3 linked regions of the Pelodiscus sinensis genome follow. The protein of the gene in region 1 interacts with the protein of each later gene in a biochemical or structural test. Links are inferred from orthologs where the notes say so. Each region holds a gene or a part of one and is shown in the gene's direction. Other genes may lie near its edges. The genes, in order: RXRA, TRIM24 and POU2F1.

What was found.
Region 2: the proteins of RXRA (region 1) and TRIM24 form a complex in vitro, tested with the Homo sapiens proteins (3 studies listed by BioGRID). The link is inferred for Pelodiscus sinensis from reciprocal best matches to the Homo sapiens genes RXRA and TRIM24.
Region 3: the proteins of RXRA (region 1) and POU2F1 form a complex in vitro, tested with the Homo sapiens proteins (2 studies listed by BioGRID). The link is inferred for Pelodiscus sinensis from reciprocal best matches to the Homo sapiens genes RXRA and POU2F1.

Annotation. Positions count from the first base shown.
Region 1 is NC_134732.1:18,242,069-18,245,814, forward strand, and holds the start of RXRA (retinoic acid receptor RXR-alpha), read left to right. Parts: upstream 1-850; 5' UTR 851-1,176; coding exon 1,177-1,204; intron 1,205-1,906; exon of another isoform or gene 1,907-3,746. UniProt on the Homo sapiens protein: Receptor for retinoic acid that acts as a transcription factor.
Region 2 is NC_134711.1:101,186,556-101,190,301, reverse strand, and holds the start of TRIM24 (transcription intermediary factor 1-alpha), read left to right. Parts: upstream 1-1,588; 5' UTR 1,589-1,833; coding exon 1,834-2,197; intron 2,198-2,706; exon of another isoform or gene 2,707-2,721; coding exon of another isoform or gene 2,722-2,734; intron 2,735-2,852; exon of another isoform or gene 2,853-2,867; coding exon of another isoform or gene 2,868-2,886; intron 2,887-3,746. UniProt on the Homo sapiens protein: Transcriptional coactivator that interacts with numerous nuclear receptors and coactivators and modulates the transcription of target genes.
Region 3 is NC_134711.1:161,876,705-161,880,450, reverse strand, and holds the start of POU2F1 (POU domain, class 2, transcription factor 1), read left to right. Parts: upstream 1-1,009; 5' UTR 1,010-1,066; coding exon 1,067-1,127; intron 1,128-3,746. UniProt on the Homo sapiens protein: Transcription factor that binds to the octamer motif (5'-ATTTGCAT-3') and activates the promoters of the genes for some small nuclear RNAs (snRNA) and of genes such as those for histone H2B and immunoglobulins.

The DNA of each region.
Region 1 (3,746 bases):
ATTTTCTAAATAAGACGGAATGTAGATTGTGATGTCATATCAAGTGTGTCCGGTATTTTTGTTGAAACCATCTGGCAACCCTACTCGCGGCTCTTTCCAGAGCGACACAAGTTCCTTCGTGCCTCCTTAAATTTGCATTTGGTGACTCGTGTCAGTTACCTAGACGGGGGTTTTGTAACATGTGTCTGTGGTAAATTGATGGATCATTCCAACACGTGATAGGCAGGCCAGCAGATCTAGCCTATTTATCCACCCACCAATTTTCCCTCTAAGGCAGAGAGACTTTCGCAGCCAGGAATAGGAACATTCCAGCCTCCCAGGACATTAATTCCTGAGGCAGCTTTGGAAAATCTCAGCCTAACGGGCCCCATCTTCCCTCTTCTACTCTCAGAAGTAATTCCTTTCTTTTTCCTGGCTCTGCTCAGCCGCCTTCCCTGTAAGTCCCCCACTTACAAAAGTTTTACGACTTGGACCAGTCCTTCTACCACCCATGAAAGCCCCCCCAAAGTACTGAATGGCATCACTTCAGCAAGAGCCCTGACGGGGTACCACTCCCACCTGCATCCTCAATTACCTTTACCTGTGAAGCTCTGAGATGGGCCTTTTCCCCTGCATGTGCTCTTAACCTGTATCGTCCCATGGCGCCCTGCAGCGTGATTTGCATGCAATTTCCCTATGCTCGTTCGGATCCTAAGCCAGCTTCTGAAAGCAGCCCCCTCTTCAAAGCCACCCGCCTCCCCCTCCCGGCCGCCCTCGAGAAAACTAGTTGGTGCAGGCTCCCAGCTGGCCGTGCCGTCGCTGCGACCAGGTTGGCCCTCCCGCTCCCCCTTGGCTGGGTCCCCTTTGCATTGCAGCTCCTGTAGTTGGAATAGAGAGACACAGAGACACAAGTACTTTAGTTACATTGTTGGGTGAGTTTGAAACAACTCCCCCTGCCTCGGGCTTACACACACTGTGACTGGATTTCCTATTCCACCCGCTCCGGTGCTGCGTGCCTTCTGCTGCTGCTTATTTTTAAATCAATGCAAAGCTGCGGGCTTTGATTTTTTTTCCCTCCCCCCTCTTTTTTTTTTACACCCCCCTCCCTTCTCTCGTTTGCTTTGATTTCTGCGCGCGCGTGTGTTTTGCCTCCACCGATCTTCAACAAATCGTTTGGGCATGAGTTAAACACCCGATATGGACACCAAACATTTCCTGCCACTGGGTGAGTTTTGTTGCAAAGGGTTCTCCGCGCAGACGGCGCTAGATATTCGGATTGAAATGCTATGGCTTGCTGGGGGAGGGCGGGGGCAGAGGGCAAGCGTGCAAAGGACAGACGATCGGCCGGGAGAAGTGGAGCAGGGCGGGGGTGTGGAGGGGGGGGGCATGAAAAAGTGGCTTTATTGCAACGCGGATGGTTTGATCCGGGACACCCCCTATGCCCCCTTTTCCACGAACCATTGCAGGAAGTCAGGCTGGCTGGAGAAAGCTTGTTTCGTGCATGGACTGGGAGGCATTGCTGGGGGGGGACGCTGCAGCGCGGGGACTTGTTTGTCAGTTTCGCCGCCTGCCCTAGACAGCGCCGATCCCTTGTGGATTTGGCCTGTTCCCTCTTGGCGAGTCCCAATTTTGGTAGATGCGCGTCTGGATTATTATTTTTTTTTGTTTGTTTTCTCCCTTCCCCTGCAACGTGTCGAGCGAGCGTCATTGTGTTTTGCAGATGGAGACCACAGATCAAACTACTGTTGAGGAAGGAGGGAAGGGGGGGGGGTTGATTTTTTTGAAAGTGCTGCGAGCTTTGGGCTGGAAATACGTGCGCGCTGCTTCGTGGCCGGAGGGTTGGGGAGAGGGCCCGGGATGGGCCGCGGCGTGGGGGGGGGGGGGGGGTCGCGGGGAGGAAAAGAAGGGAGCTCGGACACGCTGGAGACATTTTTTTTGCGCGGGGCGGGGGTTGGGGGGCGCAAAATGCGCGCGCGCGCAAGAGCGAGCGAGATCCGCTAAGGGACTTGGCACGGCGGCGAGCGCTATTTTCAAACGTGGGACTCGCAGCCAGGCACTCAAAAAAGAATTAAAAGTTTGCTCTTCGAGTGGCCCCGATCGTCAGGCACAGAACCCCCGTCCCTGGTCCACTGACCTAGACAAAAGCAATTCTGGAATGGAAACGGGGTGTTAAGTGAGATTTTGAAGGGTGCGCCCACTCCGGACAGGTCTTGGTTTGTTTTGCACAACCGGCTTTGGCTGTGCCTTGCATTGCTCTGAATGCTCTGTTTTATTCCTGGAGCAGTGGCTGACATGTGGCAAAACCCCTTTGCTTTGTATTTATGTACTTGTTTGTTTGTTTCCTTCTCCTCTCCCCCCCTTCTCCAGCCCTTGCCTTCCTCTGTAGGCATTTGCCGTGTGCAGTCTGGCAGAGATAAATGTAATTGCTGGGGTTAAAGGTGCCTGCCTGTAATACATTGACCGCCAAGTGTTGATCCAAAAGATGTATTTCAGGGGCATCTTTCTTCTTTTTCCAGAAAGAGGTGTCACCCCAGACAGGTTCTGTGTTGGCTCTTTGGGTTTGTTTTATTGTGTTTTCAATTCCCCCCCCCCCTCCCAGCGTGACTTTGCCAACCTTTCAGTAAGGGAATCAAGTCTTGGCTTGAAAGGGGAAAAGCTTCCTTGTCTCTTGATTTCCAAAAAGTGCCGTTGTTTTGCGCTTACCCTACAGGCCAGCGTTTAAAATCCAACAAATCTGGGAGAATAACTGTGAGCAACAAGGGGCAGGAAAATTCGCAGCTCAGATAAAGGGCCCAATCCTGCTGTCACTGAGATCCCAGGCAAGATCAGTCGCTAAATTCCATCTCCCCTTTTTACCCCGGTATATTGGTGGGGGGCTAAGGCTGGCCAGACATGCGACATGAGTTACAGACTTGTAGCCCGTGGCAGGACAGGAAGAGCAGCCTGCTAGTGCTAGCCTGAACTCTGACGTCCCTTGGTTTTGCTTGGTTCCTTCATATCAGTGCACTAAACCCCTTTTAAAAGAGTGGTGGTTTTCATTCATGCAGAGTCCATTTTTTTAATGGCCGAATAAACAACAGCAACAAAAAAAATGCACCTTCCCAAATGGACACCAAAGAGTTTCTGTGACTTCAGCAGCGGTGCCTGTGCTCAGTCCTGGGTCCCTTGGACATGAGACGGTCCTAAAAACCATTGTGGTTTTATTGCCACATGCAATTGATTTTGATGGGAGATGAAAAGGCCCCCAAAGTGCTCAAGTGGTTTTTCCAAGTGGAAATCTCTCCTCTGCCGCTTGACACTCACAACATCTTTTTTTTTTTCAGTCTAACGGATTTATTTTTTATTGCCGTTATTTCGGGTGGCTCAAACAAAAACATCGGAAGCCGTTAAAAATCATGTTCTGCCGACTGCTGCGTCGCTGTATCTCTGCCTTCCCCACCAAATGCCTTAATTTTATTTGCAGCTTTGTACTTTATTCACGCTTTACACTGGGAACAACGTAGGCACTGAAGACAAAGGCAAAACCTCCCCTGACTTCCTAAATCTTATACTTGGGGGTTCGACAGTACCTGAGGTATTTTGATGGCTGGGCACTATATACATTTAACCAAATGTAGCATTAACAGACATTTGATCTTGGGGAGACGAAATGTGCATATCCAGGCTGATAAAGGATTTTTTCCTGGGTGCAAATGAAGAAAAAAAAAAGCTGATTTAAAACTCATTTATAAACGATGGGAGCAGGGCCTGGTTTGCTTCTGTGGAAA
Region 2 (3,746 bases), on another chromosome or scaffold:
AGTCTTACATCATTAAAAGCTTTTTACACTAATGCTCTTCTTATGCCCATTCACCTGATTAATTGATGTGGAGGCAGTATCTTTTGTGGATGGAGAGGGAGTAGGGAGGAGAGAGATAATTAGGTTAGCAGCTTACTGTATTACAGTAGTTTTTTTCCTTCCACTTTGAGTTAATTGATTTATAATTAACTTCAAGTAGTTGGCACATCTGTAAAGGCTAGTCTGGAAACACCCCAAATGCTTGTTCCAGAGTATAAAATGTTTGTGGTTTGGCCTAGATTGAGCCGTAGGGTAAAAGTCATAAAGACATGAGCCATAAGACTTTTTAATTGGCATGACAAGGTCTACAAAATGCAAAGTATTGAAAGAGAGAGAATCCCTGTGGCTAGATGTTGGAGTTAGGTGGGAATCTCCTAAACTTTTGGGGGTTTGATCCCCTGTATCTATTCGGGAACAGTTCTCTGTTTGGCAGGTTCCTATACAGCACAATGCTGAAGCAAGGTGTCCACATGGCTGGATAACCTTGATGTTGAGGGCTTTGTCTTATATAGTCACCTATTATGCACCATCCTGTCCTGATTTTTCACACTTGCTCTTTGGTCACCCAAATACCCCAAACCCTGCATCTTACTTATTCTAGCCAAAGTCTAGGGAATGGGAGAGACAGAAAGTGTCCCTAGGAAAGGTGGAGGAAACAGCTGGTTGAAAACAGGAGGGGATTGGGTTACCACCTTGTCCATAATTGACCAGTATGTCTGGTTTATGTATGGATTTGTCAACTGCCAGAAAAATAATCTGCTGTTTTTTAAGGTGCATCTAAAGATGTACAATATTATCACAACACAGTGGGACATCTAATGTTAAAAAATTCTGTCCAGTTAAACATGCTGCAGTGATCCCACTTCCACAGTTTAAGCAATAACACATCAAAACAACGGAATCTTCCTGCATAAGAAGTGCATCCTGCCTGTGAGAGAGAATCTGAGTCTGGGGAGAGCGAGGAGAGGGGCGATGTTATTATTCTTATCTAGATGTGCTCTCTCTAGATACTATAAGTGACAGTTGAAGGGGCACAGTTGTCTTATGGTTGGGTTGGTCTTGTCTCGTGGGGAGGCGAGGGATGCCACGTTTTTTAGCTTTTCAGAGGTAGCAAGCCTAGAAGGAGCAAGGAGGAAGTAAGGGGCAGGATACCCCCCCCCCCCAACACACTCTTCCCTCCTCTCCCACCCAGCCAAGTATATTGACCGGAGAGGGAGGTCACTTCGGGAAGGAGTGAGGTCATGGGGAAGCCAGGCCAGGATTCAGTCACAGACCAGCCAGCAGGTCTCCAAGGGGCGGGACACCCACCAGAAGGGTGAGGGGCGGGGCTTTGGGAGGAGAGGGGGCGGGGCTTGGGACGCTTGCGGGGCTGGAAGGCGGGTGTCCGTACGCAGCTGGAGCGGTACTGGGACTGATGGGGGTGGAGTTGTACAGGGGTGGGCGGAGTCTCTTGTGTGCGGCGGGGCGGGGGGAAGGGGATGAGCCAGTGGGAGGAGCGGGGCGGAACCGACGTACAATAAGGGGGCGGGGCTACGGGGGGGAGCCCCTCTCTCGCAGGAGGGGGCGGGGCCCGGGTAGCCGTTGGCCGTGTCGCGCGGGTGCAGTCTCCCAGGATTAACAAACACGGCGGCTGGCGGAGGGGGGCAGGGTCCGATCGTTGGCGACGCGGCCCGGGGGCGGTTGGGCGCGCGCGCGCGAAGCCGGGGCTGCCGGGTGCGGAGCGGCCGGTGGAGGAGTCGTATTCCCCCCCCCCCCACCTCCTCCCGGCGGAAGGCGCCAGGCGGCGCAAGGACAATGGAGGCGACGGTGTCGGTGGCGGCGGGGGCCTGGCCGGCGGATCGGGCGGGGGCCGCGGCGCTGAGCGGGGAGAACGAGGCCGAGAGCCGGCAGGGCCCGGCGGAGCGCGGCGGGGAGGCGGCCCAGCTCAACCTGTTGGACACCTGCGGCGTGTGCGGGCAGCACATCCAGAGCCGGCGGCCCAAGCTGCTGCCCTGCCTGCACTCCTTCTGCCAGCGCTGCCTGCCGCAGCCCGACCGCTACCTCATGCTGCCCCCCGCCGCGCCCTCCCCCTGCCCCACCACCCCCAAGGAGCTGCAGCCGCCGGCGTCGCCCTCCTCGCCCGTCCCCTCGCCGACCTCACCCCTGCACTGCACACCGGGTAAGTCCCCCCTCCCTCAGCGCACGTCCCGGGCTGGCTCAGGGCGCTGCTGTGTCGCGACAGCACGGGAGAGCGTCGGGACTGAGACCCGAGAGCTCTGGCGCTGACAGGGACCGCGGCGGCCCCCTTTGGAGATGGGAAGGTGCTGGCCGGGCCCCCCCACCATTGGCGGTCCAGGGGGAGGCCCCTGGGTCTTTGGCCGCTCCCGCCGCGGCTGTGGTGTTGCTGTCGTGTGGGGATGAATTGGTCACCGTGAGCTCCTGGGTCGTGTCGCGATGCGGCGGGTAGGTGAGAGGGGAGTAATCCTGAAAGGGAGCCCGGCCCCTCTGTTGTGTGTGCTGGGCAGCCAACTTCCAGGAGCAAATGCGGGCGGGGGGAAACGGCCACTCTTCTGTCGGGGACATCACAATGGCAACTTCCTGCTGTTTGTACGGCCTGGTTGTTAGACACGAGAGGAGGGAAACACCTCTGGTATCCTCTACAATCACCTTCCGTCCTCCTCACGCTGCTGGGCTGTTCTCTGCATGGTGCTCTCTGGTACTTGGCTTTATCGATTTAGCTCTAGTTCTTGGAAAGAGCAACTGCTGTTCCTTCTGGAGCCACACACACATAATCTGTAACAAGTGGCACGTACTAAACAGAAGGCAAGAAAGCTGACCGGTGCCGTGAAATGTACTTAACGTGGATGTGTAAGTGGTATTGCTGCTTCTCACTGTTCACTTTTGCACGCTGAAGAGATTTGACTTGCTCTGTACTGCAAAGGGAGCTGAGATGAGCTTCTGGTAGGGAGAAGAGAGAAGTATGGCATCGTAAATGATCTGTCGTTTGGTGGTGAGAGAAGTTGTTTCTGTGTTCCGTGGTTAAACTATTTTAATCATTTTGAGGGTAAGCTTTTAAGCAGCCCTTCATGGGATTTTTACACCTTTTATACGTGTGAACTAGTTTGTACCATATCTAGCACACTGAGGCCTTAACTTTTATATGCTCAAGTAATACAAATAAGTGATAACATTTATAAGCTAAACATTTTCCATATGAATCTTCATAGTTAAATTATTATTTTAAACTGATGTACTGACCTAATCTCAGTTGAATAGCATGCCAAGATTAAGTTGTCTACAGCAAAATGTGCTTTTCATTGTAAAGATCTACCTGATCTCTGGTATATCTCTAGGAAATTGCTACATAGTAGCAGAAATCTAGTTCTTTATCCGTAATTTATCCAAAAAATGAGTAAGGCGGATTTAAAATGTCCTTTTTTAGGCAAAGAAATGTAGCCCTGTTAGTCTGGTGTAAGTGAAACAAAAAACAAACCCAAGTTTGGCCCACAGAAAGCTCATCACCTAATAAACCATCTTGTTAGTCTTTAAAGTGCTACATAGTCCTCTTTTTTTAGGCACAAATTCATCCTGAAGAAAAGCTCAAACAAGTATCTTGGGATGGAAATAAGAGAGAGTAACAAAATTAGCTGCTCTGTAACACTGCTCTACAGCCAAAATGCTTCTGAAATAAATGTAGTCAAACTTTACTAATTCTGGGTCACTGAGAA
Region 3 (3,746 bases), on another chromosome or scaffold:
TAACCATTCTATTTCAAGATGTTTTCATTTAGGATTATCTATTTTACTTCCTGTGATTACCTATTTATACTAACTCCCAGTAGCTTGCTGGCAGGAAATAGTTAATAAAAACCATCTCAGAACGTGCTGCAAGCATTTCTTCTTTCAATGTGCCTAGTGTTCATGGTGTTTTTAACCACCTGGGCCCTTATCTGGAGGCAAGCTCGGCATGAGTACAAGGGTCTCCTTTGATTGTCAGTGTTATAGATATACTGCAAAAAAAAAAAAAAGTAACAAAACAGAGTGAGAAAACCAGAGGCAGGTGCCCACTCCATGGGCTCAGCAAGCTCATGCCTTAGGTGACAGGGACCAGCATGCCTATTTGATCTGAGGAAGTGGGTCTGGCCCACGAAAGCTCATCATCTAATAAACCATCTTGTTAGTCTTTAAAGTGCTACATTGTCCTGCATTTTGCTTCCCTAGCCCTTGTGTCTCGGGACATGCTCGTGAGGCGATTGCCGCCCCTCAGGCCCGCTGGAGCTGGGAGCTGGCATGGTCGGTTTTAATGCCCTCGCCCCACCCGGCAAACAGACGCCTCCGTCCTCTCACAGCAGCGCGCCACCAGCGTGTCCGTGGCACAATGCACCTCCGCTGGAACGAGCCCCCCCGGCCAAGCACACAAGCAACTAAAGCCCCCAGACAACCATCCCCCGCACTGCGCAAGCGCGCGCTCTGTAGCCGGGAGGGAGGTGGGCCACAAAGTGGCCCGCGCGTCGAGGTCGTTTACATGCTAACGAAGACTAGGGCAGAGGTAAATGGCAGGAGAAAACGGCGCATGCGCACAGGGGCTGGCTGGGGGTACACGCAGAGTAATGGGCCAGCAAGAAAAAAGCGGATAGCGCAAGCGCGAAGCGCTCGCCCGCGAGAGAGGGCAGAGCGCGCATGCGTCGTGACTCGCGTGCTGGAGTGAGGGCGGGGGGCCAAGGAGAAGGGAGACGGCGGCTGCGCGAGTGGGACGGGTGGGGGCTGCGAGCGAGCGAGCGAGGGAGGGTTTATCGGGCGGCCGATTTTGGTTAAAATATTCAAAATGGCGGACGGAGGAGCAGCGAGTCAAGATGAGAGTTCGGCGGCGGCGGTGGCGGCGGCAGGTAATCATTACTGCGTTTTACATATTCATATTCATACTCGCGCGCGCGGCCCCCCCGCCGCCCGCCCGCCCCGCTTAGCATAATTTATTAGTACTCCGGATTATTATAATTAACGGCACAGGGGGGAGCGGGGGCAGCGGCAGCCTCCCCGTGCGGGAGACACACGCACGGGCGCGGGGGGCAAGGGGGCGCCTCCCCGCCCCCGAACCCGGCCGGAGGCCGCCGGGCCGCCCTGGCAGCGCCCGCACGCCCACAATAAAGCCGCTTTCCATATTCATGGCGGAGCGGGCCCAGATCGGGCAGGGAGCTGGGGGGCAGGGCCCGGAGCTGGGGGGCGAGCACCCCGCGACCCCCCGCCCCAGTGGGGCCGGGCCCCCCATGCTCTTGCGCCGGGGCGCGGGTGTGGGGCGCGGGGTTTGGAGGCGAGATATTGGCTCTTTTTTGGTCCCCCCCACCCCAGCCTTGGTAGCGTTATTTCCCCACAGCCCGAGGCCTGCCTGCCACGGGGGGCTGGGTGCAGAGGGCCCGGGGGGGCGGCTTGGCGAAAGTCTTCTCCTCTGTCCCTACAGAAAAGGTGCCTCAACTCCGCTCGACTCCTTGCGGGGGAGGGGGGTCTGCCTGGGGGCGAGGGGCTGCGTGGGGTCTCTGTACCCAGGGGGCTGGGCTGCCCTGACATCTCCCCCTCCCTTCTCGCTTCCTTAGGAGTCAGCGAGGCCGAGTAGAGCAGTGGGGGGTATCCTGGGATAGGTCCCTGGGGGAGGCTAACAGCCAGGCCCTGCGGGGCTTCTGATGGGTGCATGGGGTGGCAGCATTGGCGGCTGGGGTAGCAAGTTGGCTGCCAGGGGTGCGGAGCCGGCCTCCTTCTCCTTCTCTGTGTCTTGGTCTCATTTGAATAATGTCTAATTCGGGGAGGTTTATATTATTGAAATGGCCGCCTGGGTTTCCCCGCCTCTCATGTTTAGTAATTCAGACCTTTAATAACAGCCACTCAGAGCCCAAAGCCGTGTTTATATTTTACATTCGCCCCATGTGCTTTTGTGGTTCAATATGATTCTTCTTTCTTGCTCTCTCGCTTTTTTTAAATTTTCTTGGCAACCCACAGGGCCCAGAGATCAAACCCAGGCCGTGTGGGGAGGGGGTGAGAGGAGGAAGAGGTAGGCCCTGGCTCCTCTGGCAGACGCCTAGGCCTCATTCTCTGCCGCTTGATTTATTTACTAATAACCAAAATGACCCCCCCACCCCACCCCCGCCAGCAAAAACAAAACCCTCCTGGGGCTTGAGCAGCATCAGAACTGCTTCTAGCTTCACACACTCATGTCTTTTAAATAAGGGGCTTATTTTTAATTTATAGCAACACAAGTATTTAAAGCTGTCCCTTTCATAACTGTTTTTCAGTGAGTATTGAGCATTTTCATTCCTTTGTCCCCAGTTTACTTAAAAAAAGATTTGCTTTTAATGTACATTTATTGGGTCTCTGAGAACACTTTCAAAAGCTAAAAAGCCTCCCTCCTACTCCCATATACAAACTAGATTTAATATGTAGAAGCAAACCTTGAATTTTGGATCATATCACATTAAATACAATAAACCTCTTTCTCCTTAGTGTTTATGACCTGCATTTTGTATAGCAGTCCTGTGTGTTTGATACTTTTGTCAGTATCCCTGGCCTTCTGAGTTATTTTTAATTTGACAGTATGAGAAAAAACAAAACAATATAAGTTTTCTGTGTTTGTATGCCATACATAGTTGACTGAATGAAAATTGAAAAATATTTTTCTCCTTAAATTGTCAGGGCTACCTATGTTTTAGCCAGCCTCCAGGCAACTTAATGACAAGCAAAATGGACTCCTTTTTCAAGGGAGATAATGGAGTCATTTTATTTTCATGTGGTATTAATGTTGATAAAACTGTGGTTTTTCGTTAGTGGCCATTGTTTTCAGCTGTGGAGGAAAAGAATTGAACAGAAGGGTATCTTATAGTAGCCCTATCAGATGAGTATGCAAACATCTTTGAAGCATGATTAAGAAGAGTTCATGTAATAGTGCAATCAGCATATTTTATAGAGTTTGCTCGAAGGTTAATTTGTTAGAGAATACTGGTCTTCAGTTAATAGAAAAACATTTTTAATTTTAAAATGACCACTCTCACTGCTTACTTTCTCCCCCTCTGCCTTGGTAAAGACAGGTCTTGAATACTGCAAGAAAAGATCTGTAGAACCTATAATGAAACTGTTCAGGTGACTGACTGCTTCATAGACCAGCAGCATGGGGTTGGCTGGACAAAAAGCAATAATATGATTTCATGCCTTAAATAGCATATGTTTTTGCACTCGCTTCACAAGATGTGGTCAAGCTGATGATGTCACCGGCCAGAGGACAAGGTGCAGTTAATTTGATTTATTGACCTGGGATGAGGTGTGCCAGTGAAATCTTCTTATAGAGAAACCATTTATCTGAGGACAGTTTCCTTTATAGAAGCAATTTAACCACTGCTGAGACTGTAGATATTTTATCCAAGATGGTAAAAATGTACATTCGCATCTTGCAAACAAAAATTTGATTCTAACTGACAATTTAGTAATTCTGAAAGGATGAATGGCTGGACTCAGGCCTTGTGCTG